Linked DNA regions of Elephas maximus indicus. The protein of the gene in region 2 purifies or fractionates together with the protein of the main gene of each other region. This does not show direct contact. Links are inferred from orthologs where the notes say so. Each region holds a gene or a part of one and is shown on either strand. Other genes may lie near its edges. The genes, in order: LLGL1 and PRKCZ.

The links.
Region 1: the proteins of PRKCZ (region 2) and LLGL1 purify together in Homo sapiens (affinity purification with mass spectrometry; 6 studies listed by BioGRID and IntAct, counting the BioPlex papers as one, with this or other methods). This does not show direct contact. The link is inferred for Elephas maximus indicus from reciprocal best matches to the Homo sapiens genes PRKCZ and LLGL1.

The regions. Positions count from the first base shown.
Region 1 is NC_064820.1:214,121,185-214,136,979, reverse strand, and holds the start of LLGL1 (lethal(2) giant larvae protein homolog 1), read left to right. Parts: upstream 1-8,955; 5' UTR 8,956-9,017; coding exon 9,018-9,098; intron 9,099-12,708; coding exon 12,709-12,806; intron 12,807-14,879; coding exon 14,880-14,961; intron 14,962-15,047; coding exon 15,048-15,178; intron 15,179-15,795. UniProt on the Homo sapiens protein: Cortical cytoskeleton protein found in a complex involved in maintaining cell polarity and epithelial integrity. Involved in the regulation of mitotic spindle orientation, proliferation, differentiation and tissue organization of neuroepithelial cells.
Region 2 is NC_064821.1:40,593,374-40,608,555, reverse strand, and holds the start of PRKCZ (protein kinase C zeta type), read right to left. Parts: upstream 6,272-15,182; 5' UTR 6,004-6,271; coding exon 5,933-6,003; intron 3,790-5,932; exon of another isoform or gene 3,432-3,789; intron 1-3,431. UniProt on the Homo sapiens protein: Calcium- and diacylglycerol-independent serine/threonine-protein kinase that functions in phosphatidylinositol 3-kinase (PI3K) pathway and mitogen-activated protein (MAP) kinase cascade, and is involved in NF-kappa-B activation, mitogenic signaling, cell proliferation, cell polarity, inflammatory response and maintenance of long-term potentiation (LTP).

The DNA.
Region 1 (15,795 bases), on a different chromosome or scaffold from region 2:
TGCAGTAGACGCTTTAACAACAGCTGGCACCAGCCCTGCCCACCTCGGAGGTTATCGCATTCCTCCAGTCCTGTGTGTGGTGGGGGAAACTGAGACCCAGAGAGTTCAGGGACTGGCCCAAGGTCACATGTTTGTTCATTCAAAAAATATTGCATGTCCTACTGTGTGCCATGCCTGGTGCTGGGGATAAAAGACATCTGGTGTCTGCCTTCACAGAGCTGACACCCTGCTGGGGAGACAGCAATCATGTCTCACATACCTACACACACAGCGATGGTAAACTTTACTGATGATGATGTGTAGCACATAACTTACAAATAACAAATGATTTAATTGTAAATTTCATATACAGTCAGTCCCTGGAGTATGAATGAGTTCCGTTCCTAAATCTGTCTTTTGAGTCTAATTTGTACGTTAATTCAGAACAGTTAGGTACGGTTCATATCTAATGTCAGTCAAATGTTTGTCTTAGTATGTAGTATAGCGCCTTTCTATGCATAAAAAATGTTAAACCCGAATACACTAAAACATCCTTAAGATAATGCAGTAATGTTTTGACGCGTGTCACAAAGTAGCACCTGTTTGATACTACAAACCATTGTATGTACCTTGGATTTTTAACGCACAGTTAATAGGCTTTACTGGGGTTGGTTCATAACTATAACCTGGGGACTGCCTGTACTTCGTTGTTTTTCACAGAAAGCTTTTGTTGGTTTTTGCTGAATCCTGGTATGTATAGCCAACATACGGTTGTAATTCAACCACAATTTGACAAATGGAGTTGCATCCCTCTCTGCTTGTACTAGTTTTCCATGGCCACTAACAAATGACCACAGACTTGGTGGCTTAAAAAACAAATCCATTCTCTCACAGTTCTGGAGGCCAAGAATCGGAGATTACTATCACTGGACCAAAATGAAGACTTTCAGCAGGGCCATGCTCTAGAGGACGATCTGTTCCTTGCCTCTTGCAGCTTCTGGTGGCTGTCAGCGTTAGTTGACTTCTGGCTGCATCACTCCAATCTCTGCCTCTGTGGTCACATTGCCTCCACCTCTTCTGTGTGTATCAAGTCTTCTGCCACTCTAAGGACAGTTGTCATGGATTTAGAGCCCACCCGAGTAATCCAGGATATTCTTCCCATGTCAGGATCCTTAATCACATCTGCAAAGACCCTTTTTCGTTACGAAGGAGCATTCACAGGTTCCTGGGAGTAGGGTCTGATACCATGACTCTACCCCCTACTCTGCTCTTTTCTCAATCAGTTTGTTGTCATTAAATCTGATACATGACCGGCTGGTTTCTCATCCTTGAACACATTAATTGGGCTGAAACTCCTTTCAACTTCGGCTCTCATTTCTTTCATTGGCCCGCTACCATTTTTTTCCTTTTCCACGAGGCCAGAAATGTCCTAATTAGAAGCTCTTCCATCAGCCTGGGTCACAGGATGAAGAGGAGAGACTGATGCCAGTGGACGTGTAGCCAAACAAGACGTCAACCTTTGTGGCTGTGAGCCACTGAGGTGTGAGAGCTGTGCATTACCGTCTCTTAGCCTAAGTGCAACACTACTTTTAAACTTGCATTACTAACAGCTTCTCCATCACCTTCTTAAATCTAGACCTGTGCTGTTCAGTACAGAAGCCACTGGACACTGGTTACTGAGCACTTGACCTGTGGCTAGCTTGAGATGTGCTGTAAAGCGCAAAATACACCCCGGATTTTGAAGAGTTAGTATGGAAAAAAAGTGAAATTTATCATTAGTAAGTTTTTTATATTGATTATGTGTTGAAATTATAATAAAATGTATCAGTAACTTTTATATTATGTGTTAAAATTATAATATTTTGGACATACTGTGTTAAATAAAATAAGCTATTTGACCTGTTTGCATTACTGTTTTACATGTGGCTACCTGAGAATTTAAAGTTATATATGTGGCTTGCATTATATTTCTATTGGTCAGCGCTCATCTAGAAAATGAATAAAAATCAAGCCTGATTTGTGGTGTTTGCCAATTTCCATGGTGTAAAGTACATCCATCGTGGCTGATTTTGAGCTACCAACATGAGGTCACTGAATATGGAGTTGGGAAGAGACATGCAGTAGCTTACCATTGTACAGTTAAAAGAGCAGAAGCAGCAGTAAAATGTAGTTAAAATACTAATGAAGTGATGAGTTCTGAATATTATTACCTTTGTTTTTAGTATTTTGAGTTTATATAATTTTTAAATAATGGCTATGTTTAACAACTGACAAAAAAATTTAAAAATATGACAACTGGCAAGTGGCCCCAGTATCCCGTAGGAAAGGGGTGATGTGATCAGACTTAGGGTCCCTCAGGCAGCTTATTAGCTAAGGGGTTCAAAACTAAAAGGCTAGGACAAGTGGGGCGGGGCTTGGACCTCTACACGCTGGTGTCAGGGCTGGGGTCCTCCAGCCAGGTGTTAGGGCTCATGTCTGCAGTTCACCCCTGTGCCCACAGTGTGGCAGCATAGTCAGCGACAATGCTTCAGACCTGGGGCAGGGGACAGCAGTCCATTGGTTGGATGGGAGCGAGGCCCCACAGGCCCTGGAACCTGCCAGAGGTTATGCAGGGGCGAGATTTCGGTTTCCTGCTGCTTCTACCCATCAGCCAGGACTCTCAGGGCTACTGCATAAGTGGAGGGGCGCTGGGCCCTGGGGAACAAGGGGAGGCCCAGAGCCCCCAGTCTGAGCCCCACGCCATACCTCTCTGCCCCAACTCACTGGTGCATTCGGCCCTCTGAGCTTTTGCACATACCAGTGCTTCTGCCTGGGATGCTCTCCAGGGACCCTGCTCATCATGTTCAGCTCAGGCAGCGGCTACACAAAGCCGCTTTCCCTGGCCCCCGACTGGCCTCATCAGTGCTCCCCAGGACACCCAACGTGTGCCATGTGGTCATGCCCGTTGAGCAGGTCCCAGTGCCTTCACTCCAGGCTAGGAGTGAACTGTCTTTACTGAACTCTCACTGTGAGTGGAGCCTTTTATGTATTACCTCCTCTAACTTTCACCACAACCTAATACCTCACTTGGGGCCCGGGCTCAAACCCTGGCTCTGCTGCTTACTAGCTGTGTGACTTGGGCAAATTACTTAACCTCTCTGGCCTCAGCTTCTTCCTATGGGCAAGAGATTCAAAGAATGACTAGTGTCTGGCACAAAGAGCTCTATGTTAATAAACAGTAGCAATTAATATTAGACTCATTTTGCAGATGAGGAAACTGAAGCCCAGAGAGGTGAAGTAGCAGAGGCAGGATTAGAACTTGGGGCCACAAAGAGGAATAAAGCACAGAGCTCTTTATGCTTCCAAAGGGCCTGTGATAGTCCCCACCTGCCCAGTGCTTGTAGTCTCAAACCTAGCACTCCCTGAAGCAGGCAGGTGCACCCAAGTTGCCAGGTCCTGTAGCTCAGCACGAGTCAAGAAAAGCCCCAGGATCCAGGCTCAGGGCAAGTGTCAGGGCTGAGAATCCTGCATCTAGAGAAGGAACACTAGGCTGTCAGTCCAGAGACCCATACTCCCCTTGTGGCCTTGGGCAGATCACTTCTCTCTGAGCCTCAGTATTCTCCTTTGTAAATGGAGTACCGGCACTCTGTCTGGCCTTTTCTGAGACCCAGACACTTCATCCTTCAGTGGAGAGGCCCAGGTCCACTGCCCCTCCCCTCGCCCTGATGGCCCCCTTCACTTTGCACACTTTGCTGGATGAGGGGCTCAATTCCCCTGGTTTGGGCTGGCCTGCTGGCTCTTGGTCTGGAGTCCTGCTTCCCTGGTGGTATCTGTCCCAGTCAGCCCCCACCCCCTTTCTCCATCTCCCTCCACCATAGGCCCTGCCCAGCCCCATTCCCAGTCCAGGCTGCACTCCAGGAATCCTCAGGCAGGCCAGACCCCTGGGGAACCACTGGAAGAAGCTGCTTGCCTGTAGCTTGGGCAGAAGGGGAAGGGTGTGGCCTCAGCTAGTGTCTGGGCTAGCTCCTAGAAGGCAGGGCCTGCCAGTAGCCCTGTTGGCCGCCTCCCTCAGCCAGGCTCGCTCCTGGTTTCCTCCACTCCCTAGCTGCCTCTACTCTACCTCCCTTTGGGGCTTTCCCCTTGTCCTTCCCTGGGATCATCCTCTTTCCCTTTCCCTCTGCAGCTGACCTTGGGCCAGTCACTTCCCTGCCCTGAGCTTCCATTTACTGGCTGCGAAGTGAGGTCATCCTTGTACCCATCTTGCAGATTTGTTGAGGATTCAAGGAAATAAAGTGCAGATACAGCATGGATAACAGCACTGGGCACTGGGGTACAGCATGGATTGGGGTGCCTGCCTCTGGTGACACCATCAGGATTATTATCTCCACACTCCGTCAACAGCTGTGGATTTCCCTGCAGCTCCCTGATCCTGGCCTCCAAAGGCCCTCCAGCACCTCTCACGGCAACTGCCAAACCGGCCTCCTCACTTTCCTGAATTCACTCCCAGCCTGGCTCAGGAATGCTTCTATTCCCCCACCTGCCCCCCACGCACTTCTAAACAGTGTGGATTGTTATGATCTGGGATTTATGACTTTTCATTAAATATTTCAATGTTGAGTAACATGAAAAATACTGAAAATAACAAACACCCATTGCCCAATCATGGTAGTATTTTTTTATATTTGCTTCAGTTTTTTTTTTTTTTTTTGTATTTTTTAAAAATCATTGACACCTATGATGTGCCAGGTCCATTCTAGGCACTGGGGACAGAGCAATGAACGGTAGCATTAAAAACCCATGCTTCAGCTGAGGAGACAGCAATGGACACAGAAAGAAGTCAAACAGATAGTCCTGTGTGGTGAAGTGAGTTCCTTTATGTGGCCTTTTGCCTTGGTTCTTCGGAAAAACAGCCTTGGGAGATTTTCCCCCCAAACCCTGAGGAGTTACCTTTGCCATGATTTTCTACCTCAGAGGGTCTGTTACCAGGTTGATTGACATTCCCTGGGTAAGCTGTAAACAACTGGGTTGATACTTTTCGTCTGGTCCTTGGCTGCAGCCTGCCTTGCTATTGGTATGTACCTTGCAGAGATTGGTCGATAGACTATGCAAACGAGGGTCTGTGGCCTACCGGAAGGTATTGGTCAGTTTGTGGGCACCCCCCGCCGCCACTGGAAGGGGCCATGCCTTGAAATGGACAAAGAGCTGTCCATAGAAGCAGCCAACCTACAGAGGTTTTTCAGACAGAAAGAAGCAGGAAGAAAAGCAGCAGGGAGAAAGAAAGAAGCGCCAGAACAAGGGGAGACAAGGAACCTCCTAAAGGAGCCATAACATGGGTCAAGGGCTGTAACACTGAAGACAGCACAGCAACAGACAGCAGAGCCAAGAGGAACCAGTCATCGGGGGCGGAGAGGAGGCCTGCACGGTTGAGAGGAGCTGAAAGAGCTGTTCTACACTGAAGAAAGGAGATATTGCCTACCTGCTTCCTTGTCCTGATCCCGAGTTGTACCTGTACCTTAATAAACCAATTAACTGGAAGTATGGTCTATGAGTTTTGTGTATCCATTGTAAAGGATTATGGAACCCAGGAGAGAAGTAGACATTGCTGTGGGAGGGACGGCTGGTGTCAGAATTGGTGAAAAGTTTGGAGAGTGGAGGTATGTCTGACCTCCGCCTCAGAGGGCTCCGCCTTGGGCTGATATTGATTTGTGTTATTCCCCCCTGAAGTTAGAGGGGTTCTGCTGCTGCTGCTGCTGCTACCACCAGAATTTTATAGGCTGTGATTCTAAATAGGAAACCCTAGTGGCTAAAGCAGTGGGTTTTAATTCTAAATAGGAAACCCTGGTGGCGTAGTGGTTAAGTGCTACAGCTGCTAACCAAAAAGCCAGCAGTTCGAATCTACCAGGCACTCCTTGGAAACTCTATGGGGCAGTTCTACTCTTGTCTATATGGTCGCTATGAGTTGGAATCGACTCAACAGCAATGGGTTTTTAAAATTATAAATAGGTCCAGGGAGGCTTCCTTGAGAAAGTGTCATTTGAGTCACAATCCAAAGGATTTGAAGGATTTGGTGAAGTGATACCTGGGGGAAGAGTGTTCCAGGCAGAGGAAATGGGCAAGTGAAAACACCCTGAGGCAAGAACTTGTCTGGTATCTTTGAGGAAAGGTCAGGAGGCCAGTGTGGCTGGTTCATTAGGTGTACTACCAAAAAAAGGTTACTAGGTTTACTAGGCACAGACCATTTCAGGCTTTGTGCTCAATTCATATTGTGAATCATCTTACTTAATCCTCACTGCATTTTATAGATGAGGAAACTGAGGACCAGTGGTTTAGCTGAGGTTACCCATGTAGAAGGGGAGGTATTGGGATTTGAACCCATACCTGGGACCCATGCCAGAGCTGGGCTGAGCCCCAGGGTGGCCTAGGATCCTGGAAGAGGAAAATGCTGCCCCACCCAGGAAATGCCAGAAGGCAGCAGCCTCTCCCTAGCCTGAAGCTGACCTAGGGCTAGGAGACTGGGGAGAAGGGCAGCTTCCCTTTCCAATGCTGCTGACCAGGCACCCTGCTGCCCCCTCCCGCCCTCAGGTTGGGTGTGGGGCACCTAGAATCCCTGAGGACCCTTCCTTCAAGCTCTTGCCTGGGCTTCCCTGACAGCTTCCTGCTGTAGGCAAGGGCAGGCCTGGGCCTGCATGTAGGAGCCCACTGAGGTGCACGGACTGGCCTCCTGGCCCAGTCTTCTTGGGCCGCCTGGTAATCATAGGCCTAGGCTGTCCCAGCTCACAGGGGAGAGGACAGACAAACAATCATTACCTCCCTAGGCCTCCCAGCCTGGGGAGATGTACCCTCCCCAGTGCCAGTCCTGAACCCTGCCCGGCTGGGTGCATGGGGTGAGCCTGCCTTACTCAGGCCTCAGTTTACCCATGTGCACCTCAGTGTACCCATTCGCTCCACAGTTTGGTGTTTGGTGACCTGGAATCTGCATTGTTAACAAGTGTTGAGGGGTTCTGACAATCTGAGAACCCCTGCTTACCATGGGATCCTTTCCTGCCTGCCCCCCACCCTCTCTGTCTGGGTCAGATGGCCCTTCTGGGCTCCCTCAGGTCCTGGTGCCCCAACACAGAACAGCTTACTGGCACTGTGAGTGGACGTGGGCTCTCATCTGTCTCCCGTCAGACCGTGAGCTGGTAAGGGGTGGGGCATTGGCAGAGTAATGCCTGATGACTACAACCCCATTTCAAAGACAGAGACATAGAGACAAAGGAAGGGCAGGGACCTGTCCCGGTGGTGGAGGGGAACAGCTCAAATAGCAATTAACAAGAGCCATGATGATAACAGCTAACACCGGGCTCCTCCTGGGTGCCTGGCATGTCCTAAAGACGTCACAAGCAGTACTGCATTTAATCTTCACAAGAACCCTTTGAGGGTAGGCACTAGTATGACTGCCGTTTTATAGGTGAGGAAACTGAGGCACAGAGGGCTGAAGTAACTTGCTTCAGGTCTCACAGCTTCTAAGTGGTGAACTTAGGATTTGAATCGGCAATTCCCTAGCACTTCTCACGTGAGGCCCTGCGCTAGGCAAGCAGGCAGGCAACGCGTTATTGACTCATTTTGCAGAAGAGCAACTGGGGCTCAGGCCTTGTCACTCAGTCATTGGAAGGACAGTGCTGGAGGGGCCTGAGCCTCAGTCCAGCCATCTCTGCCCACAGCTTAAAAAAACCCCTTGCCTCTGCCCATCTTCATCTGTAAAACTGGAGTGTGAAATATTGGTGATCCCCTCACAGAACTGTTGAAAGCATGAAATCAATTGAAACTAGGCGAGGGCTTTCAATAGTGCCTGGCACACAGCAGACGCTCATAAGCTTTGCATTCTTATCGTCATCCCTCTTTTCCCCTCCCTGCTCCTCCACCCATCCATCCATCCATCCAGCCCCAGGAAAGGGCTGAACAGAGCTGTGTGGGCGGAGGGGGGTGGGGAAGCCAGGCCCCTGTCTCTGACAGCTGCCTAGGGGTCAGATGTCCGCCCTGTCTCCCTTGACACAGCTGGTGAGGTTGGAGCCTTGCCCACCTGCCCCACCTAAGCTTCTGGGGGCTCTGACCTCACCCAGCCTTGGTTCCAGGGCAGTCTATCTGAAGCCCAGAAGGAAAGACCCAGCTTCCAGGCCACTGTCCAGATGAGAAAAGGAGGACTGAAAAGGCAAGTGGGTACAGGCCAAGGGTCCCTCTCAGAGTAGGGGTGGGGTGCAGCTTTGTTTATACAATGTTCCCTGCAGCCTGGAAGCCCTTCCTCCATCTCTGAAAACCCACTCCAATTTGAGGGCCAAACATCCAAATGTCATGTCCTTCAGAAGAGCCTTCTCCCTCTCTTGGGTCTCTATCCCTCTCTTTGCCTGATAACCACTCCTAAGAATCCCGTGTTACCACACAGAGCCTTTCGGCTTGGGTCCTGAAGGATGCAGAGGAGTTCCTCAGAAGCTGAGGCTTGAGGAGGACTTTCCTGTCTAACCACACGGCCATGTGGGAGCTGTTCTGGCACACTGGCAAACAAAGAAAGTGTCGTCCTGCGAAACTAACTGGTGAAACAAAACTCAGCCAGCATCTGGCCAATGGCCCACAGCGTAGATAGGGAAACTGAGCCTCAGGGGCCAGGGAGTTGCTCCACTCAAAACTCTCCTGGCTTTCGTTACAGGGACGCCCCATCACTTGGATGTGCACTTCGCTCGCTCGCGGGACGGAGAAATACGCCTTCTTCAAGCTCCCAGATACTCCCGCACACTACGTCCACAGCCGCCCACGCGCGCGCCCAGGATCGAGGACTACAAGTCCCGGCAGGCCACGCGCTGCGGCGCATGCTCTGCCGCATCTGTCCGCAAGCCCGGAGAGCTCCATTGTCTTGCCTGCGGGCGGGACGGCGGCAGGCGGGCGCGCCCACTGGTCGGGCGGCGCGTCCGTCGACCGGGCCCGCCCCCTGTAGGCCCCGCCCCCAGGCCCGGGCCGCGCCCCGCCCGCCCTCAGGACCGGCGGGGCCGCGCGGCGCATCCTGCGGGCGGCGGGCCCGGGCCAAGATGATGAAGTTTCGGTTCCGGCGGCAGGGCGCCGACCCGCAGCGCGAGAAGCTCAAGCAGGAGCTCTTCGCCTTTCACAAGGTGCTGGGCCAGGGACGGCGGGGGGCGCGCGGACCAGGGGGCGGGGGAGGGGCGGTGGCGCCCCTGGGCGCGCGCTCGCCCCCACCCCCCGCAGGCTCCGGCTGGGGTCTCCGCCGACTTTGCGGGCCTTCTCCCCGTCCCTGGGCCCGACTCCTGTCGTCAGTCTGCCCGGTGTCGCCGCCACCCGCTGACCAGTTTCCCCCATCCCTTTGCCTCTCGGTTCCTCGCTGTCTGTCTCTGCATCTCGGAGTCTCTGGCTGTCTCTCTCTGCTCCGCGTGACCCTGCCGGGTTTCTGGCACTGACCCTGTCGCTTACTCTCTCCTTATCGCTCCTTCTGCGGGGATCCTCGTCCGCTCCCATCCCGGCCCAGCTCTTGGGGCGGCCAGGGCCCCGAGTTGTGTTGCTTTCGCACCCTGGCGGGGCGGGGAGGACGAGGAGTGGAGGCGGACGTGGGGGTGGGGCTGGGAAATCCCTTCCAGGTTCCTCTCTCCTCTCGCCACTGCCAGCCCCGGGCCTTGCCCTGCGCCGCCGAGAGTCCCAACTGCACTTCAAATCTCGGGGCCTCAGTTTCCCTTGCCGTGAAATGGCTCCTTACCCACCCTGCCGTGGGCTCTGGCTCCCTGCATCACATGGGCCGGTGACCTGACACTTTGAGCCAAGGAGAAGGTGGGGTGGAGGGCTGCTCCTCCTTTCTTTCCTTGGGTGAGTCAGAAGGGGCAATGGGAAAGGGGCTTCGTTCAGCCCATGCCTCACCCTGCACTGGCGTGTAGTAGCATGAGGCCCCCCTCCTGGGTCTGTGAGTTCTGTTCTCAGTTTTATGCCAAATCCCCTCACTGCTCTTAGGGTTATTATCCCCATTTTACAGGTGAGAAGATTGAGGTTCAGAGAGGGATGGTGACTTGCCCAAGGTCACAGAGAAGGCTGAGGCACTTTGTCCTGGAATTTCTTTGTCAGTTGGATTTGATGTTAGTCTTGAGGGGCAGGAATATTCTGAGTGGCCGCTGTGGTCCTGAGCTGGTGCCAGGTGCCCTGGGCTGCCATGAGGAGACCTATGTCCAGGAGGAAGCTCTGGAGTGGCTGGACTTAGAGTGACTGAGGCACTGGGTCCATCTCCCAGAGCAAGCAGAGGTTCCCTCAGACTTGGTGGCTGAGACCTTGCCAGGGACCCTAGTAGGGCCCGGGGAGGAAGGCTGGTGTTTGGGAGGGTTCCCAGATGGCTCCTCTTGTGCTGGGGTGGCTATGAGCCCCATGAGGTGAGAAAAGAATGAGGGGTGGGGGTGGGACAGGCACTGAGCTAAAGTGTCACTTCCTCAGCCAGTGAGGTGGAGTGTGAACAGGGACCTGAAACAGATGGGGAGGCTTGCCTCCTCTGGCTGGCCCTGGGCTTGCAGAAGGTGAGAGCTCTCTGCTGAGGCCCTACTCTGAGTGGGCAGCAGTGCTGGGAGGGAGGTGCTCTTGGGGAAGAGGCTCAGTTATGAAAGGGATAGTAGGTGATCCCTAGGGAGTAGGCCCTGGATCCTAAGTTGGGGAGGTGGGTCAGGGGGAGCATGGACTTTGGTCTCTGGCAGTCTTGGGTTCACATCCCAACCCTGCTTACAAGTTGCCTGTGGGATGTCCACTCTGTCATTTTAACAAATACTGAGACCCTGTTGTGTGTGAGGCCTCTTTCTAGGTTTTAGGGACAGAGGAGTGACCAAAAGGGCTAAATATCTCTGTTCTCAGAAGGCTAATGTTCCAGTGGGAGAGGCAGCAAAAAGCCAAAACAAAAAAGTAAGATAGGCAATAGTTTGACCAGTGGCCAGTGCTGTGGATAAAATTAAAGCAGGGCGAGGGTGTGGAGAGTGTGGACAGGGTGGCTACTCTAGCTGGGGTGGCTTAGGGATGCCTCTAAGGAGTTGATTCTTGAGCTAAGGATTGAGTGGTAGGAAGGAGCCTGTCATGAGGAGCCCTGGGAGAGTGCATTCCAGGCAGCAGGTACCAAGGCCCTGTGGCAGGAGCCTGCCTAGTGAGTTGGAGAGTACAAAGGCTGTGGAGACTTGAATCCAAAGAGCGACAGGACAGTGGGAAGAGATGAGAGCCAGAGGTGATGGGCCAGGTGGTAAGGACTCTGCCTTTGAGTCTGAGTGTGGTAGGTGCCCTGGGTCCTGGCAGAGGAAAGACCAGATCTGACTTTGGTTTTCTCAGGCTCCCTCTGGCTTCTGTGTGGAGAGCAGATTGCGGGGGTGGGGTGGGAGGGATAGGGAGGCCAGCGAGGCGGCTATGGCACTAGTCCTGGCAAGCACTGGTAGGGTTTGGCACGGGGTGGGGACTCTGGGGTGTGAGAAGCTGAGCTGATGGGGTCAGGAGGGGTTGAAGGTGGGGTGTGAGGGAACCAGATACTGGATCACGGCCCTACCCTGCCTATCTCCCTCTTTGTAAGACCTTCAGGGCCTAGCAGGTCATATACTCAGCATCTTCCTGTGTCCTGTGTGCTTGACACTAGGGCTGAACCAGGCACTGGCCACAGTCAGGCCCAGCACGGGCTGGCAGTGCTGGTGGGAAAGGGAAGCCACATCCCCCTCAGTGAACAACTCTGTCCTCTGGTGGCCTCACTGCCCCCGTTGTCCAGATGGGAAAACTAAGACTTAGAGTGTGCTGTGACTTGCCCAGGGCCAGGCCATGGGCACGCCAGCTGCCCAGAGGGCTCCATCTTGGTGTGGACGGGCCGAGGCAGAGTGCCTTAGGAAGTCTGTGTCTTCCTTGGGTAGTGTGGCCCTCAAGTGATGTCAGGACTGGAGGCCACTGTGCGCCATCCCTAGGGAGAGCCTTGGAGCTGGCGGGAGCTCCCAGGCAGGCAGACCGAGGAGGGCACAGGTGAGAGATCTCTGTGCAGGCATGGTGGTGGGAAGGGGCGACACCACTTGGGACTGGCCTTTGCTCTGCGTAGGTGGGTGGTGTCTTTGGAGATGCTCTGCCAACACCCCTGGTGTGCAGCCCCCATCACACCATTTCACCACTGCTTGAGGGTGGGAATCCTGTTGCCCAGTTTCCAGGTGGGAGAACCAAAATCTGGGAGTGGGTGACACCTTCAGGGGTAGGGCTGGAAGGTTCCTCTCTCTGGGCCTCAGTCTCCCTGTCTCTGGGTCTGGGGAGGTGAGGGATGGAGGATGGTAGCCCCAGGGGGCATCAAGAGTCTCTCCCTAGCTGACCCTAGATATTAACCCTTGACCTCTGGCTTCCCTGCAGGGCCTGTGTTTGGGGTCCTCCATGGACTTCTAGGTGGGACCCTGGGCAGCTGACTTCTCTCGGAGCCTCATTCTGTGCCTCCAGGGATGAGTTAATAAGCCCCAGCCCACATGAGGCAGGCTTCCTCTTTGGTGCTGGCCCTAGTGAACTATGTGTCACCAGCACCTTTGCACAGTGGTGTCAGTGACATGGGCATTCAGTGAGGGCCATGGGGAATACCAGTGTGGGGTCGTGGGTAGAGGGCCCCTTCACAGCGAGGATGCCGCCTCGTGATGCAGGGGATGGCGGGAGCCTGATTGCCTTGGGTGGGCCTTAGGGATGGCCGGGGCAGCTGTGCCTGAGTGTGCCCCCTGCCACTCCAACAACCTACCCCCCACCCCGCAGACCGTGGAGCATGGGTTCCCCAACCAGCCCAGCGCCCTGGCCTTCGACCCCGAACTGCGCATCATGGCCATTGGCACCAGGTCTGGGGCTGTCAGGATGTATCCTTTGTGGCCCTGGCCTCTGGAGCAGCTGGCAGTTCCTGGGTCCTGGTCCTCTCCTCGGGGCTGTCTGCTAGGGAGTGAGGAAGGAGGGGCTCTGTCAGGGGCTGCGGTGAGGGCTGGGATGTTGGGCCACAACATGGGTGTCGGTATGGCCTCTGAGCCTGTGAGGGTCCTCACAGAGATGGGGTCCTTTTACCGTGAGCCAGGATGGCGTCCCTGCCCTGTGTCTCTGTGAGGCAGTTACCTAGGTGACTCCGCCATCAACATGTGACTAGGGGGGCCGGGGGCTAGGAGGTGGTACCCACAGGGGGGCAGGGACCTGGAGGTCACACGTGTGCTTTTCCCTGGTGATTGGACACACACGTGTGTGCGTGTGCAGACGTGTTCGGCGCGGGCTGGGGGCAGTGCCAGGCTGGGCATGGAGAGCACAGCACGGCCCCACCTGGGGCCTGGCGGCCGCACAATCAGACCATGTGAGCTGCACAAAGCAGGCATTTTCCCTGCAAGTGGGAGGGGGGGCAGCCGAACGCCTTCTTGCTTGCTGCTGAGAATCCCACCCACTGCTCACTGTGTCGCCCCTCAGGCGGGCCTGGTTGGTGGCTAAGGCTTCTTAAGCAAGGGGCACCCACCCACCCCTCCCAGTTGGCAGAAAAATGAGTCAGTGCCTGGAAAGGGGAGGCCCTGGGGTGCTGGCTGGTTCAGGGTGGGTGTCTGGTCTGTGCCTTGGAGTCTCTTGCCTACTTTAGGGGGTGTGGCAGGTGGGCTGGCCTTCCTCCCCAGTGGCCCCTGAGACACCTGGTAGGCAAAAGGGAGCCCCTGCAGCACCTTGTACCCTGTCAGCCGGCAGTGTCTCCCTGAGGCTCCTGTTCCCGAGCATCATGCCCTGGGGGCTCTCAGAGCTGCCCTCCCGAGTTGTGGGCTTTCTGTAGGTCAGCCCTCTGTTGTCACAAAGAACCTGCCGTGCCTCAGAGAGGCAGGGGGAGCCCTCTCCTTCTCCTCCCTCCTTTCCCACAGCCCCACAGCCTGAGCCCTGGGGTAGGGAAACTGAGGCTGGAGGGGACCAGCCCTGATCACCAGAGCTGCCCCTCCCGCTGCAAGGCTGGCTGCATATCCTTGGAGACCCTGGTCCCCGCCCAGCTGCTCCTGCCCCCTCTTTTGTCCCCTCCTCTGTGTTCCCTGCCAGGCTTCTGCAGGGAATCCCAGCTCAAGCTCTAGGCAACAGCTCCTTTGTTGTTGCCAGGGCAACATCAGGCCTCACTGACCACCCCCCCTCAGCACACCCTCATGGGGCCCCACAAGCCTGCTGGTCCACCAGGTCCACAATCATACCCAGAGTTGCCAGGACTCTGGCACTGACACTGGGGTCCTTGAGCAGGTCACCTAACCTTTCCAAGCTTCTGTGTGCTATTATATCAAATGGACAGGCAAGGGTCCCTCCTCCTTCCTGGTGAAGGCCTTTGGCTACGTGCCCTGGAGGGCGGTTGATTTCCTTGTCCACAGCTGGAGTTTGACCGAAGCTATGGGAAGAGGCAGCCAGGACTCTCTTCCCGTGTCCCCCACCCCATACCCTGTGTCTCCCTGGCCAGGACACATGGCTCTGTGGCCTCTGTTGGTCCTGTCTTGATGAGATGCTTGTGGCCAGACCAGCTAGGCATGGCTCTTGGGTACACATGCACACACATGTATGCGCACAGACACACACAAATGTGAGGGTGAGATAGAGCGGGCCCCCAGCTACGTATCAGGCCCAGGTTAAGTGTTTCAGGCGTGTTTTTATCCTCACTTCCTCTACACAACAGCCCGGAGAAGTAGGAGTCATTGGCCCATTTTACAGATGAGGAAGCGAAGGTCAACACAGCAGTGCTGGCTTGCAGGAGCTGGTGGAACCTGCACCCTGAACCCTGGGCTAGGGGGTGCCTGAGGGTGGACCTTTGAGGATTCTTGGCTAGGCAGGGCCAGGGCAGGGTCCATCAGAATAGTCCTGGGGAAGAAAGAGGCTTGGGGGTGTCTCCATGCCTTAGTTTACCTGCCAGTGCCTGCTTGCTTCTGCCCTTGACCAGTCACCATCAGCTATGGTGCTCCCGGTGTGGAGTTCACAGGTCTGCACCATGATGCAGCCACTGTCACCCAGATGCATTTCCTGCCTGGCCAGGTGAGCCTCTACCCCCAACCCCTCCCCGAGGCCCCTTTGCCCTCCCCCCTAGGCCAGCCCTGGTCTGGCTCTCTGCTTGTCACCAGGGTCGCCTCTTGACCCTGCTGGACGACAACAGCCTGCATCTCTGGGAGATCGTCCCTCACAATGGCTGTGCCCACCTGGAGGAAACACTCAGCTTCCAGCCACCAAGCCGCCCCGGTTTTGATGGCACCAGGTACTGGAGGCCCCGGCCAGGCACCAAGCCACCAGCACTGGGGGGTTTCAGCCATGAGCCTCCTACGCAGGATGTGGCATCCTTAAAGTTGCCAGGAGGGCTGGGGTTCAGGTGTGGGCTATGTGGACCCAGGCCTGGGTCATCCCAAGCAGAGCATGTGGACTTGGTATGACTGGCCTGTTTACTGACGTGTTATGCGGAATATCAGAGGTGCTAGTGGGAGATCCCAGCTTAGTCCAAGGTGAGCAAATAGGTGTCTGCAACAGGACTTGTTGGTGCCTTTGATGGGCTGTGAGCAGTGGGAGCACAGGACCGGGGAGCCCAGGTGCCCCAAACTCAGCTGATTGTGGCTGCTGCCCGGTGCTGTGGTCCCTGGGATGGTGGGGTGCCTGGGAACTTGTGAACAGGCTGGAGCAGGGCCCTGTGGACCTGACATCAGTGAGGGCCCTCCAGCTCCTTCCGTTTGGGTGGAGGAATGGGCCCTCATGTGTAGGTTTGGGGCACGGGAGTCCTGCTGGCTATTAAGTGGTGCTGGCAGGATGCCCCCCGGGGGCAGTGGATTGGGGACTGGGCCCCTGGGGAGAGTGTAAGTGGCTGGAGCACAGCAGTGTCTCTCC
Region 2 (15,182 bases):
AGGCACTTTTTTGGAAACTCAGTCACAGGATGTAATCACATAGCTTTTCACCCAAACATGGGATACCGAACCTCAACAGCTGGGTGTTAGGGACTGAACTGTATCCCCCAAAGAAATATGTTGAAGTCCTGACCTGTGAATGTGGCCCTGCTTGGAAATAAGGTCTTCGTAGATGTTATCAGTTAACATGAGGTGGGTACTGGAGCAGGGTGGGTCCCAATCCTATCTGAGTGGTGTTCTTATAAGAGAGGCGAGACACAGAGGAAGGACCCCATGTGGAGATGCAGCTACAATGCCTGGAGCCACCAGGAGCTCGGACAGAGCTAGGAACAGATTTCCCTTCAGAGCCTCAGAAGGAATGGACAAGGCAGACACCACATCTCAGACTCCCAGCCTCCAGAGCTGTGAGACAATATATTTCTATTCTCATAACCCACCCAGTTGTGGTCCTTTGTTCTGGCAGTCCTAGGAAATTAACACGCTGGGGACGGCACAGTGATTCCCAGTCACCCCAAACTCCACAAGCACAAATTCTGCTTGAGGGTAACATGGCTGATTTTCTGATCGAGGTTATCTGTATTCCATCCCACCAGTGCCTGTAAACAACAATGACTGTGAGGTTGGCTCAGGACCCGGCAGTGTTTCGTTCTGCTGTACACAGGGTCACTACGAGTCAGAACCAACTTTATGGCTCCCAACAAGTGCTTACAAAGAAAGTCTTCATTCAGGAGAACACAGACTAGGACAGCCACGACTGTGGCCAGCCTAGCGCCTACCACAGGCCCCAGCACAGCAGCCCAGGGCAGAGATCTCACTCATCGTCACCAGGAGAGGGGGTCCTCCCACTGCCCAATTCTGCCCACCAGAACCAGCAACCCTCTGCTCAGGGACCCCAGCATCTGCTCTAAGCTCATTACAGAGATTAACTCAGCTAATCCTCACAATAGGGACAGATGAAGAAACCAAGGCACAGAGAGGGTCACCCTGAGGTCAGCCAGGCCTCCTACCTCTGTAACCTCTGGGAGTTAAGGCCAGTCATCCTCAGCAATGGTCCCCCCACCTCCCCTCCCTCACAGCCCTCAGCCCCAGTGAAAGGTGTTGTCTTCCCCTAATTCCTCAGGTGGATGGCTCTGGTAAAAACCCTGGCACTGTGGGGGTCCCTGACACCAACCTGTACCACCGCCCACTCCTCTGTCACCCAATCCTGATGATTTGGGATCCATCCTGCCCACCCCCCACACCTCCATCACCACTCTCAATCACATCCAAACTCTGAATCCAATCAGCGGGGCACATGACCAACCCTCTGGCCCTTCCTTCTGGAAGCACGCTCCGGCCACATTACCATGTCCAGTCCACTGACCCTCCCACTTCCTCACCCCCTCCCATCCTCGCACCCCCTTCCTCCAGCCTACACCTAGGGCTGTCCTTTCTATATCTGTCAACATGCCCTCAGCTCCCCCGGCACCATTTGTCCACTGCACTTACCCAACAACACACCACCCTGACTGAGCCTGACTGTCCACCTATGGTGCTGTGACCGAGATGCCCAACTGTTCCCAGAAAACAACCACACCCGATTTCACCCTAAAACCATGGCCACAGAGTGCAAAGGAGTACACAGTATGACTCATGCCCACGTGAGTCCACTTCCCATGCCCAGATAGACAATAACAGAACTTCCCTCGGCCAAACCCTGACCACCTCCCAGCTGTCACTTTCGTCCTCCAAAGCATTGTGGGAACTTCCTCACAGTCCAAGTCCACATTGACACACCCTCCACTGGCTTCTCCACACCCCCTGGCCAGCTTCTCCACACCCCCTGGCCAGCTTCTCCACACCCCCTGGCCGGGAGGCCAGGGCAGGTCACTTACCTCTGGGGAGCTGTTGTGGAATTCCGAGACTGCTTAGGAGAGTACTGATACCCAAAAAGCATGCAACAGGGCCTCTTGGCATGGTCTGGTCACTGAGGACCCCCTAGGGCCTGGCTTCTAGCATCAGCTTCTCCTCTGCAGTCCCCTTCCCAGACCATCAGCTTCTCCTCAGCAATCCCCTCCCCAAGCCATCAGCTTCTCCTCAGCAGCCCCCTCCCCAGACCATCTGCTTCTCTCTCAGCAGCTCCTCCCCAGACCATCAGCATCTCCCTCAGCAGTCCCACACCTGCTCACATACCCTCTCCAGGAAGGAAATTCCAACCCCAGCCCATCACTCTGCAGCTACCACTCCCATTTCTCGTTAGAATGTCTGCAGCCGTTGATTGCCCCCCAGACCTCCCAGCCCCAGATCCCCAGAATTGAAGGGGCCCCTGCTCTGACCCCTTCTTCTCTGGTAACCTTGGGACATCTCTCCAGGGATGTCAGAAGGTCCTCTCAAGTTCATCATGGCTGCTAACTCCCTCCACCCCCAAACCTGCTCACCCAGCGCAGCAGCTCTGCCTTCCAGCCCCAAGGGGCATTACCCCACACCAACCAAGGGCAAGTTGGGGGTAATTCCAACTTCCTCTGCCCCCCAAGCCCAATGCTTCTCTGTCCAATGGCCAACAACCCCCACTCATGCCCCTCCAAGGGTCCGTGGTCACATGGCTCCCCCAGGCCCTGAGAAGGACGAGGCCCCAAACAGCCTGGGCACCAAGCTCTGAGCTGTATACATAGGAGGGTCTCAGTAAAAGCTCTAGAATAAAAGCCTGAGCCGGAGAGAGCCAGCAACCAAGCATCTCTATGACCCTATACTACTTAGACTACGGCTGCTAACCAAAAGTCAGCAGTTTGAATCCATCAGCACTCCTTGGAAACCCTGTGGGGCGGTTCTACTCTGTCCTATGGGGTCGCTATGGGTCAGACTTGACGGCAATGGGATTGGGTTGGGTTTTAGCAGGAGAAAGGCCTGAAGATCCACTTCCGTAAAGATTACAACCTAGGAAACCCTTTAGGGCAGTTCAACTCTGTCACATGGGGTCACCACGAGCTGAAATTGACTAAATGGCAAACAACAAGAAAAAAACAGGCCTCTGGAACACACAAATACCACGGAAGAAAGGGCTGACAATCTGCTTCCATTAAGATTACAGCCAAGAAAACCCTACGTTCAACTCTGTAACACAGGGGGTCACCATGAGTCAGAATCTGCTCGACAGCCAACAAGTTTGATCTGGAACTCCAACCAACAGAGCAGGGCCTAAACTCAGCAAGCGCCTATAATCACCTGGAAACTCTCTGAGCTTTCAGGTACCGCTGGACCCCCCTGCTGAAGGAACTGGGGAGGGGGGGTCAAGCTTCTGGAGGGTACCCAGGGGGGCCATCACCATGCGGATGGCTGAAAAACACTCCCTTTTTTAAGACCAGCGTCTCTGAGGTGTACCATCCTCAGCTCCTGACTGTGGAGCCCCACAGCAGTGTCCCCAGGACACCTCCATCCCAGTGGCAGCCTCTCACCTGGTGGCCACCTCATCTTGGTGGGCACTTTCCAGAACACTGCAGTAGCTGAGCTCTGGTACCGGGTCTCCCCATCCCCAGTGCCCCAGGTCTCAGAGTTTCCAGTCCCCAGAAAGAGACACCAAGGCAGAAGCTTTAGGAGAAGCAGGTGCTGGGAGGGCTGAAGTGGCTGGGATTGGGGAAGGCCTCAGGCAGAAAGGAGAAGGGAGAAGAAAGTGGGTAGAAAGGGACAGGGAAGGGAGAGGGGGAACCTGGAGGATAGTCGAGAGGAAGAATGGGAAAAGGGAGAGAGGGGAGAAGGGAGGAGAGGACTTAGGGAGATGAAGGGGGGATGAGGAAGAGGAGAGGGAAGAGGAGAGAAGGAAGGGGCTTGAGAGTGGAGAGAGGAACTAGAAGGGGCTGGGGAGGGGAGGGGGAGGGGACGGGGTGAAGGAAGAGGAAGGGGGCGTGGCCTTCTCAGCCTTGAAACTGGAGTCAGCAGGTCTCATTACAGGGTGCTTAGAAACCAAAGCGCTCCCCAGGGGCCTGAAGCGCTGGGATGGGGTGGGCAGGAGCTGCTGCAGCACTCAGCTGAGAAATCCCTGGGGCACTGCCCTCCAACTCTGCCCAGGACTACTTGGGTGCCTGTGTCTCATCTCTGTGCCAGCTGAACTGGTCCTGACGAAAGACTCAAGGTCTTGCATGCCCCATGGTGGAGGGGCAGCTCCGGAGTGGATGTGTTCTCATCATGGTGCGCTGGGTCAACCCTCTGCTCCCGCTAATTTTTAAAAATGTTACTTGTTGCTAGATCTGCGGGATCCTTCTGTCTGTGTCCTTCTATAGGGTCATTATGAGTCAGAATCTACTCCATGCTGGGTTTGGTTTTCTCGCTGGGAAGGGGCAGCCTCTCGGACCTCTGATGAGACATTCAACAGAGAGCTTAAGAACCAGGAGAGCCAGGACGCTGGACAAGTCCCAGGGCCAGAACTTCGACATTTTAATCAGCCCCCACTCTCTGGGGTCAGATGACAGCACCTTCTGACCTCTCAGGGAGCTACTGGGCCAGGCCCTCCCCAAGAAAACTTCCTTCTTGCTCTGTAGCCACCAACGCCCCTCCCACAAACTTTCAGGTGCCCAGGCTGAGGCCAGCAGAAGAGACGGGGGTTAGCAAGTGGCCTCAGAGAAGAGATGAAGACCACGGAGTCTGGACAGCAAACCTGGGGCCAACTCGCCCTCGGGACCTGACTAGAGACCAGAAGAGGCTGCGCTCAAGGTCAGGAGTCGGCAGGCCCTTCTCCAGGTGCGGGAATCACGGACCCCCAAAGGGCTACCCAGGACGGGGCCCGGCCTCGGGAAGAAGCCACCCCTCGCTCCCAGGCCTCCATGGCCTGAACCTGCTGCCACCGCCCTGAAGCAAAGGGAAGCTGCTAAAGCCGGACTACCAGGTTCACCGACTTGGGCAAGGCCGGCCCTCGGCTTGGCTCCACTTCCCTCCCGACATGGAGAAGCACCTCCGGGAGCTCCCAGGTTCGAGCTCCGGGCTCCTGGAGACAGATCCAATGCGCCCACTCCTCCCTCACCCGGTGTCCCCGCCGCGCGGAAGGCGGCGGTGGGATCCATTTGCCATGCCACGGAGCCCGGCAATCTGGGCACAATGCCTCTTCACTCCGCCAGGGGCTGCCCAGCGCCAGGGGCAGCCCTTTGACCCGCGCTCGGTCACCGACCTCTGTGAGGCGCCCACTAGTCCCATTTCAGAGACCCAGGTCGAGTCCAGGCCGTCCCAGGCGGACGAAGACGCGAAAGTCTTGTCTGCTGGAAAGGCCCCCAACAGACCGCGCCTCGGCCCGCCAGGGTCCCTCGGTTCTCGCACTCATCTGCACGCTCGCTGCACCTGTCTTCACCGGCCGTATTACACTTTTTTTTTTTTTTTAACTGAGCTGTCCCGTAAACTATGGAGAAGTTTAGAAAATCGCGATCTTTTTTAAACTTCCAGAAGTGTTCACAATTCTATAAAAATTTTAGCCCTTAAAGGTTTGTAGGCTAATGTCCATAGCCAAATTTCCACTGGAAATGTCAACAGCAATGTGGCCAGGTTGCCAGACTCCCAGCAACGCCAGCTTCCCCCGCCCCTGCACTCGCCCCGCGGGGTCCTCCGGCCAGTACGAGTCGGTAAAGCCCAAGTGCTGGAGCGCGGCGCCGGCACGGCGCGGACCCGGGGCGGCCAGGGACCCGCCTTCGCCCAGCAGCGCTCTCTAGCCGGGCTCCGCCATCCGGAGCCAGGCCAACCCCGCCCTGTCCGCTAGGCTCCCGCGGGTGACGTTCCAGAGCTCCCGGGGCCGCCTCTCGGCGCTGCCCGTCGGGACCTCCCGGGATGCACCTGGGACCGAAGGGCCTCGCTGTCCTCCCGCATCGCGGCCGCAGCTCCCGGCCCGGGGTCGGCAGGGGCTTCTCCGGCGGTCTCCGCGCCCCGACCGCCGCCCGCTCGCGCTCCGACTCCTCCAGCCGTCGGGGCGCGAACTCACCCGCTATAGTGCGCCTTCAGGCGGACACGGCAGCCGCTCCCGTCCATGTTGGCGCCGGTCCGGCTCGGCATGGCGCTCCCGACGGCCGTCAGGGCCGCGCCTCGGGTGGTGCGGGCGCTCGGGCCATGGCTGGGGGCGCACCTGGCCGGGGGCGCAGCAGTGCCAGGTGTGGCCAGCGGCGGAACGCGGAAGGGAGTGCGCGGCGCGGGACGAAGGGACGCGCCGCCGACGGACGCTGGCCCAGCCAACTCTGCTGGAACTTGGGCGCGGGGCGGGGATGGGGGCGCGGCCGGGCGGAGGCGCGCGGCCGAGCGGCAGCGCGCACGAAGTGCGGGCGTCAGGGGCCCACGGGGGCGGGGGTCCGAACATGGCCGACCCGAGACCGAGCCGGCGACCAATCGGCGGGGCGCGGTCGTCCCGGGGCGGGGGCGGTGGCACCTGCGGCCAATGAGGGCGCCGGCGGGCGGCCACCTGAGCCAATCCTCGGGGGATTCCGCGGCCGCGGCCCAATCGCCGCGGCGCAGGACGGACTACCTGTCGGGCGGGGCGCGGCCCCACCTGCGGCCAATGGGAGCACGCGTGGCCCGGCTCTGCCCGGCAACGTGAGACTGGGGGCCGGGCTGGAGGGGCCTGAGAGCCCCCTCGGCGCCAGGCTCCTCCGGGAAACGGGCGCCTCCGGGAACTTGTTGGAAATGCAAGTTCTCGAGCCCCGTCCAGACCTATGGAATCGAAACTCCAGCAGTCGGGGTTAGCAAGCCTCAGGACCCCCCGGGTGTTGCCGCCGGTCTAAGGAGCAGCGGGGAGCGGTGCGCCGGTGACATGTTTTAAACGCAGTGGTCAATTCTCAGGCTTTTTTTTTCCAACAGGTCCCTTCTAGAAACCCTACCTTCCCACCGCTCCTGCTGCTCTTCCTCTCGCTCCTCCTGGTCTTCAGCTCGTGAACGGTGCCTGATCTCGGACTCTTCTCGGGCCCTGCAGCTTCTCGTATAGGCTTCTTGTTATATGCCCTACAGTCGATTCCGATTCGTAGCAACCCAGTAGGACACAGTGGAACTGCCCCGTAGGCTTAAAAAAAACCCCAAATACCATTGCAAGGTTTCAGCGCTCTCCTGAACTCCAGACTATGTCAAACACCTGATACTCTTGCCTCTTACATCCCTCATCACGCCATCTGCAAAATATTTCCAGAATCCAGACACTGCCCATCACCTCCATTGCTACCACCTGGTCCAAGCCGCACCTTTGCCTGGATTATTGCAGGAGCCTCGGACTTCGTCCCATGCCCCACCCCTCCCCCCACCCCAGTCAGTTCTCCACATGGTAGCATCAGAACCCTCTTAAAACATAAATCAGGCTGTGTCCATCTCATATTCAAGCCCCCCCCACCTGGTTCCCATCACACTGGGAGGAAAAGCCACCTCTTTATGTGCCCCCTCCCTACCATGCCCTACAGTATCCAGACGCTCATCTCCCCCACCTCATCGTGACTTACTCCACTCCAGCCTCCTTGCTGCCCCACCTCAGGGCCTTTGCAGTGGCAGTTCCCTCTGCCAGGAGCACCCCTACAAGGCCAAAACCCACAGGTAATTTGAGTCTCTTCCTAATGTCCCCCCTCCTCCGGTCTTCTCAGCTGGGCGCACTGAGCTCCATCCCTGTAGGTTGGGGGTGAAAGGGTGCAGAGGCCGTCATGAGAGGGGAATCAGCTGAGTGCACCAGTGAAGGGTGCCCAGCCAGGAGGGGTCAGTAAGCCCAGCTTCCGTGCAGGCCTCTGGCTTCCTGCCTCAGGGACACTGGAACAAAGCTTGCCCAGGCAAGGAAGGAGGGTAGAGAGGTCAGGGAGAAGCCCTGGCCTGAGGCTCACCTCCCACTGCAGGCAGGTAGGCCCCCTCCATTCTAGTTCTTGGACACGCCCTCCCAAGGCCCCACCCAAACCCAAAGGCCATACCTTTCCCAGAAGGCGTTTACCAATAGGAAGCCGTAGCTGGGGTGAGACCTCCAGATGGGAACTCTGTCCTGGAAGGTGGCTCCTGGGCCACTGCCAGCCCCCATCCTCATGGGACAAAGCTAGAGGAGGATAGAAGCTGCCTGACCTGGGCACCATGGGGAGGGTTCAGATCCGTGGAGCCCCCAGCTGGGTGCCACAGTGGGAGGTTGACGGACCGTTAGTGACCCTGAAGTGGCTGTGCTCTGCGGGGTTAGGGGAGGGGAGAGGGGGTCAGGAGCCTATTCCAGGTGGGAGGCCTCACTGGGAGGTACCTTCCCCTCTTCCAGGGCTTGCTGACTGTAGCCCCTCCCCCCCTCCACACACACTCCTAGCTAGCCCTCTTCCTCTGCTGCCCTCTGGCCATGTCCAGCCCCCAGCTGGGGTTAGATCCAGTCAGTGGTCCCACAGGCTCCGGCGGGGTGGGGCTGGGGGTTTGCTGGGGTCGTTTGCCCGCCCATCCCTAGACATTTCTTCCTGGGGGCGGTATCTGACATCTGCTTTCCTCAGCAGGCCAAACCGTCCTGTCATCCCACTCCAGGGAGGGAGGGTGAGCCCTGGGGAGTTTCCCCGGGCCCCCCAGTGCCGAGCCTTTGGCCCACACCCATTAGGGCCCCAGGCAGACGGACAGACCAGTAGGTGTCCAGCCCAGGGGCTTCAGGGTTCCTGCAAGCGGCGCCATGGCGAAGCCTCACAGGGTATCTGCTTCCACGTTCACCAACCACTCTCCTCGGGTGTCAGCTGAGGGTGGGGCTCTGTTCGCCTGGGACCCCTCTGGATCCCCTGCCATCTCCGCAGACATCTGACAAGCAGTGGAATGAACAGATGCATGAATGAGTAGGTAAACGGGTCCTCCTGAATGCTGGAACCTGGTAGGCCTCCTAGGACCTCAGGCCCCAGGGCTGGGGAGGGAGAGGGTAGCCGACTAGAGCCATTTCCACCCAAAGGGAACCCTGAGTGTGACCCTCAGGAGGGGTGACCTACCCGAGAGGGTCGATGGGGAGGAGACAGGTTACAGTCCTCGCACCCCGCCTCACCGCACCCAGTGTACCCGTGTCACGAAACCGAGCCCCTGTGCGCCCAGGCCTGGCCAGGTCCTGGAGGGGGAACCTGCCACTCCTCGGCCCCCGCCCCTTCTCTGCCCCCAGGGCGGTGCAGGCAGTCAGCGATGAGAAGATCACATCTGCAGGGAGGCGAAGACTGCGGAGTAAAAACGGGTGTAGAGGACGCAGCCTCCTGGGATGGAAAGTTGAGATGAACCCCCAAAGGAGGCGCAGGCAGGTCGAATGCAGAGCCCTGGGGAGGATCCGGGAGGGTCATTTTCTCCTCCAGACATTTCTGCAGTTCCCAAGTTTCCCACAAAGACGTCATATTTTGTAATCACTAACACCTGTTGGAAACCCGAGTGGCATAGTGGTTAAGTGCTACAGCTGCTAACCGAAATGTCGGCAGTTCAAATCCACCAGACACACCTTGGAAACTCTATGGGGCAGCTCTGCTCTGTCCTATAGCGTTGCTATGTTGGAATCAACTGGACAGCAGTGGGTCTGGTTTTGGTTTGGAACACCTGTTAGCTCCAAATAGAAAAAAAAAATACTTTTTTAACTGATTATGGAAGTAACACAGGCTTGGTATAAAACCTCAACAGCACTGAAGAGCAGAGAGGTGGGAAGCCCCTTGGCCCCGCCCCCTCAGGAGGCCAGCCAGGCCTGGTTCCAGCCCCGGCGTTCCCCAAGTCCACCTGCAGAAGGGTGCTGCACTGAAGTGGAGAGCCCTGGTGGCGGCAGAGGACACAGGGCCTTGGCCAGCCCCTGGGAGTGTGGCTGTGGAAGGTGGTATTGGTCACCATCTGATTTTCTTTTGTAAAGGGCCGGGTGATGATCCTTTCAAAGGACTTGGAGATTCTTTAGATGAGAGAATGCACACAGTGTTTATGCTCCAGGTGACTCAGCAGACAGGCCTGTGGGGACCAGGGACCTCTCCATGACCCCAATGCCTGGTTTCCAGAGCCACCTTTCTCACTGAGGCTGGTGGACCTACACTGGGCCAGCTCATGGTGCAGACTGTCCAGGAAGAGGGCTTGCTGAGCCACTGGGGTCAGGCATGTTATCCCTCCAGGTGTGGGCTGACCCAAGGGTCACAGGAAGAGCATAGAACACTTGCCAACAGGCCTTGGCACACGCAGCTGTGGGACGAGATGGGGGAGCAGATGTTTCCCTTCTTTATCACGGACCATGTAGTTTGGAGAAACTGAGTTGGTATAACAAACATTCACTGCACTCATTCATTCATTTGGCTAATGTTTATTTTGGTTCCCTCCGCCCCCAACCCCGACACACTCCAGGCCTCCCTCTGCTTATCATTTGCTCCCCTGTCCCTCCCACAGCTGAGTGAGCTGCATCTGCTTCTCCAGGGTATACATCAGTTCTGGCCCAGGCGACTCAGCAAACATCTCTACCCAGCAGGCTGACTTTCACCATTGCCGTCAAGGCCAGATATGTGTGTGTATGTGTGTGAGTGTCTGTGTGTGTATGTGTGTGTGTTGGAGCATCTCTGTGTGATGTGTGTACCTGTGTGTGTTGGAGTACCTATGTGTGCATGTGCATGTGTGTACTGGAGTATCTCTGTGTGCATGTGTGTACCTGTGTGTACTGGACTATCTGTGTATACATGTGTGTACCTGTGTGTATTGGAGTATCTGTGTGTGCATGTGTGTACCTGTGTGTACTGGAGTATCTGTGTGTACGTGTGTGTACTGGAGTATCTGTGTGTGCATGTGTGTACATGTGTGTACCTGTGTGTACTGGAGCATCTGTGTGTGCATGTGTGTGTATCTGTGCACAAGCGTACCTCGTTTTGTTGCACTTTACTTTATTGAGCTTCGCAGATACTATATTTTTTACAAATTCCAGGTTTGTGGCAACCCTGTGTTGAGCAAGCCAATCAGTACCATTTTTCCAACAGCATGTGCTCACTTCATGTCTCTGTGTCACATTTTGGTAATTCTCACAATGTTTCCAACTTTTTCATTATTTTTATCTCTGTTGTGGTGATCTACAATCTGTGATCTTTGATGTTACTATTGTAATTGTTTGGGGGGGGCACGAAGCTTACCCATATAAGATGGCAAACTTAATAAATGTTGTATGCACCGACCACCCATTCCTCCATCTCTCTTTCTCTCCTTGGGCTTCCCTGTTCCCTGACACACAACAATATTGAAACTTGGCAAATTAACAGCCCTACAATGGCCTCTGAGCGTTCAAGTAAAAGGAAGAGTCTCACGTCTCTCCCTTTAAATCAAAAGCTAGAAATGATTAAGCTTAGTGAGGAACGCATGTAAAAAGCCAAGACAGATTGAAAGCTAGGCCTCTTGTGCCAGTTAGCCAAGTTGGGAATGCAAAGGAAAAGTTCTTGAAGGAAATTGAAAGTGCTAGTCCAGTGAACACAGGGAACAATAAGAAAGCAAAACAGCCTTATTGCTGATATGCAGAAGGTTTTAGTGGTCTGGATAGAAGAGAAAACCAGCCACAACATTCCGTTAAGCCAAAGCCTAATCCAGAGCAAGACCCTAACTCTCTTCAGTTCTGTGAAGGCTGAAAGAGGTAAGGAAGCTGCGGAAGAAAGTTTGAAGCCAGCAGAGGTTGGTTCCTGAGGTTTAAGGAAAGACACCATCTCCATAACAGAAAAGTACAAGATGAAAAGCAGTAAGTGCTGACGTAGAAGCTCCAGCAAGTTATCCGGAAGATCTAGCGAAGGTAACTGACGGAGACGGCTGCACTAAACAACGGGTTTTCAGTGTAGACAGAACAGCCTTGTATTGGAAGAAGATGTCATCTAGGACTTTCATAGCCAGAGAGAAGTCAACGCCTGACTTTGAAGCTTCAAAGGACAGGCTGACTCTCATGTCAGGGATTAATGCAGCTGGTGACTTTAAGTTGAAGCCAATGCTCATTTATCGTTCTGCAAATCCTAGGGCCCTTACAAATTGTGCTAAATCTACTCTGCCTGTGCTCTATAAGTGGGACAACAAAGCCTGGATGACAGCACATCTGTTTACAACATGGTTTACTGAATATTTTAAGCCCACTGCTGAGACCTACTGCTCAGGAAAAAATACTCCTTTCAAATTATTACTGCCCATTGACAATGTACCCGATCACCCAAGAGCTCTGATGGAGACATACAAGGAGATTAATGTTGTTTTCATGTCTGCTAACACGACATCCATTCTGCAGCCCATGGATCAAGGGCTTAAATACATTTTATAAGGCTATAGTGGCCGTAGATAGTGATTCCTCTGATGGATCTGGGCAAAGTAAACTGAAAACCTCTGGAGATGCCATTAAAAACATTCATGGTTCATGGGAGGAGGTCAAAATATCAGCATCAACAAGAGTTTGGAAGAGGTTGATTCCAAACCTCATGGATGACTTTGAGGGGTTCAAAACTTCCATGGAGGAAGTAACTGCTGATGTGGTGGAAATAGCAAGAGCACTAGAATTAGAAGTGGAGCCTGAAGACGTGACTGAATTGCTGCAACCTCGTAATAAAATTTGAACAGATAAGGAGTTGCTCCTTATGGATGAGCAAAGAAAGTAGTTTCTTGAAATGGAATCTGCTCCTGGGGAAGATGTTATAAATATTGTTGCAACGACAACAAAGGATTTAGAACAGTACATAAACATGGTTGGTAAAGCAATGGCAGGGTTTGAGAGGAGTGACTCCAGAAGAAGTTCTCCTGTAGATAAAATGCTATCAAACAGTGCCGCTTGCTACACAGAAATCTTTCATGAAAGGAAGAATCAATCAATGAGGCAAACTTCATTGTTGTCTTATTTTAAGGAATTGCCACAGCCACCCCAGCCTTCAGCAACCACCACCGGTCAGTCACCAGCCATCGATATCGAGGAAAGACCCTCCACCAGCAAAAACATTATGACTCCCTGAAGCCTTGGGTGATGGTTAGCATTTTTTAGCAATAAAGCATTTTTAAATTAAGGTATGTACACTGTTCTTTCGCCATTGCACACTTAATGGTCTACAGTATAGTGTAACCATAACTTTTATATGCACTGGGAAACCAAAAAATTTGTGTGATTCACTGTACTGCGATATTTTCTCCATAGCGGTCGTCTGGAATAAAACCTGAAATATCTCCAAGGTATGCCTGTATATCATGCCAGGCACTATACAGAGTGCTGGGAATACAGCAATGAGTCACCACACAGTAGCCTTTCATGGAACCTCCATCCTGGGAGGTGGGGGGAGTCAAGGCGAGACAGACCACTGTCCAAAACGGCAGGTCTGCTGAATATGGGAAGGAGAGAGCAGGTCTGCCCACGGTAGGAAAGTCCAGAAAGTCCCCAGAAAGAGGCTGGCTGTGGGTGGCAGTGGGCCCTGAGGAAGTGTGTTGTAACGTTAAAGAGGAGGGGAGGCATAAGGGATGACTGTGCAAAGGCCCTGTGACCCCAGGGAGTAGGGTGATCTGAGAAAGGGAAAGGCAGCAGGGAGGGGGTGCAACTGGCAAGGCTGTAGAAGCTTCTGGAAGCAGAGCCCAGGGCCCCGTGGGCCATGTTGACAAGGCTGGTCCTCATCCTAAGGGGGAGTGGTGCCATGGCCACAGAAGCGTCAGAAAGGGCCTCTCCATCCCAGCTGAACTAGGTTCTGCCTAGGGTGAGAGGAGAGACGTGTGGCTGTGTCTCTCTGTGTCTGGGGGCACATGTCTATGTACATGTCTGTGTGTCTGTGCCTATGTCATAATGCCTGTGTGTGTGACCATATGTCTGTGTATCTGTATGTCTGTTCAGTGTATTGTGTGTGTCCATGTACATGTGTCTATGCCTGTATGTATATATACACGTGTGTGGCACAGTGGTTAGCATTGGCTGCTAACCAAAAGGTCAGCAGTTCGAATCCACTAGCTACTCCTTGGAAACCCTATGGGGCAGTTCGACTCTGTCCTATAGGGTCACTATGAGTCATAATCGACTTGATGGCAACAGGTAACCGTCTATGTGTGTACGAGTGCAGACATATGTCCATGTGCGTCCCTGTATTTGGTTGTATGTCTGTGTGTATTTGTGCATGTCTGTGTACCAGTTACAAAGTTATTACCTCACAGTTCCAAGTTCACCATTCAATATCTGGCTAATAGATGGAATTCCTCCAAGCCAGGGTTGCTCAGGCTCAGCACTGTTGACAGTGGGGCCGATGACTATGTGAGGGGGCGTCCTGTGCACTGTAGAGTGCTGAGCACAACCCCAGCATCCTGTGCACTGTGTGGTGGGGGTATCCTGTGTGCTGTGGGGTGCTGAGCGTATCCCTGGTCCCCTCCCACTGATGCTGGAGGTTATCAGGCAGCTCTGGTTTACAGTGAGCGTGGTGCTCAGCTTTCCCAGTAGAGGGCACTGAGGGGACACTGCAGGAGCAAGGGCTCCACTTGCTGACTCCAGCATTGGCAGGTGGCCGGTTCAAGTGTGGGCATGAGGACATTTGGGGGTGCTCTGCCCAGCCACTGCCCACAACACAGGGACCCTCTACTACCTGCCTGGTGATCACCTCCCAATCCAGATACACAAGCTCCAAGCCCCCATCTGCACCCAGCAAGCTGCATCTGCTTGTCCACTGGCTGCACCAGCTCTGGCCCAGACAACCCAGCCAACATCTTTGCCATCCAGCGGGCCAAGCCTTCACCATCGAGGCCTGAGCCCCAGGCTGCAGAGGGCCCACCTAAGTGTGTCCTTCCATGGGCACCTTCACTCAGCCCAGGGCACCACCAGTGTTTTCTTCTACCTATAGTCACTCTTATCACAGTGGAATAATTAAATATTTTCCCTATAGTAATAATATTCACTAATATATTAATTAATGCTATTCGTAACAGTAATAATATTAAATGTTAATATGTAATATGTTTACATTGCTGTGTGGCTTCTGTCTCCTGATTGGATTCAGACAGATTCAGTCTGTGTGTGTGTGTGTGCGCGCGCATGTGCACATGCATATCTGTGTGTTCTGCGGTATCTGTGTGTGTATTTCTGTGTGTGTCTGCATGTAGCTGTGTACGTGTCTGTCTGCAAGTTCTCTGTGTGTGTGCATGGTGTGCTTGCTCTGTGTGTGCCTGTCTATGTGTGTCTGTGTCTGTCTGTTCTGCATGTGTCTGTGCGTGTGTAGGTGTGTATGTGTGTCTACGTGTATGTCTGTGGGTATCCATGTGTCTGTGTGCAAGTTCTTTGTGTGTGTGTCTGTGTGTATCTATGTGTGTCT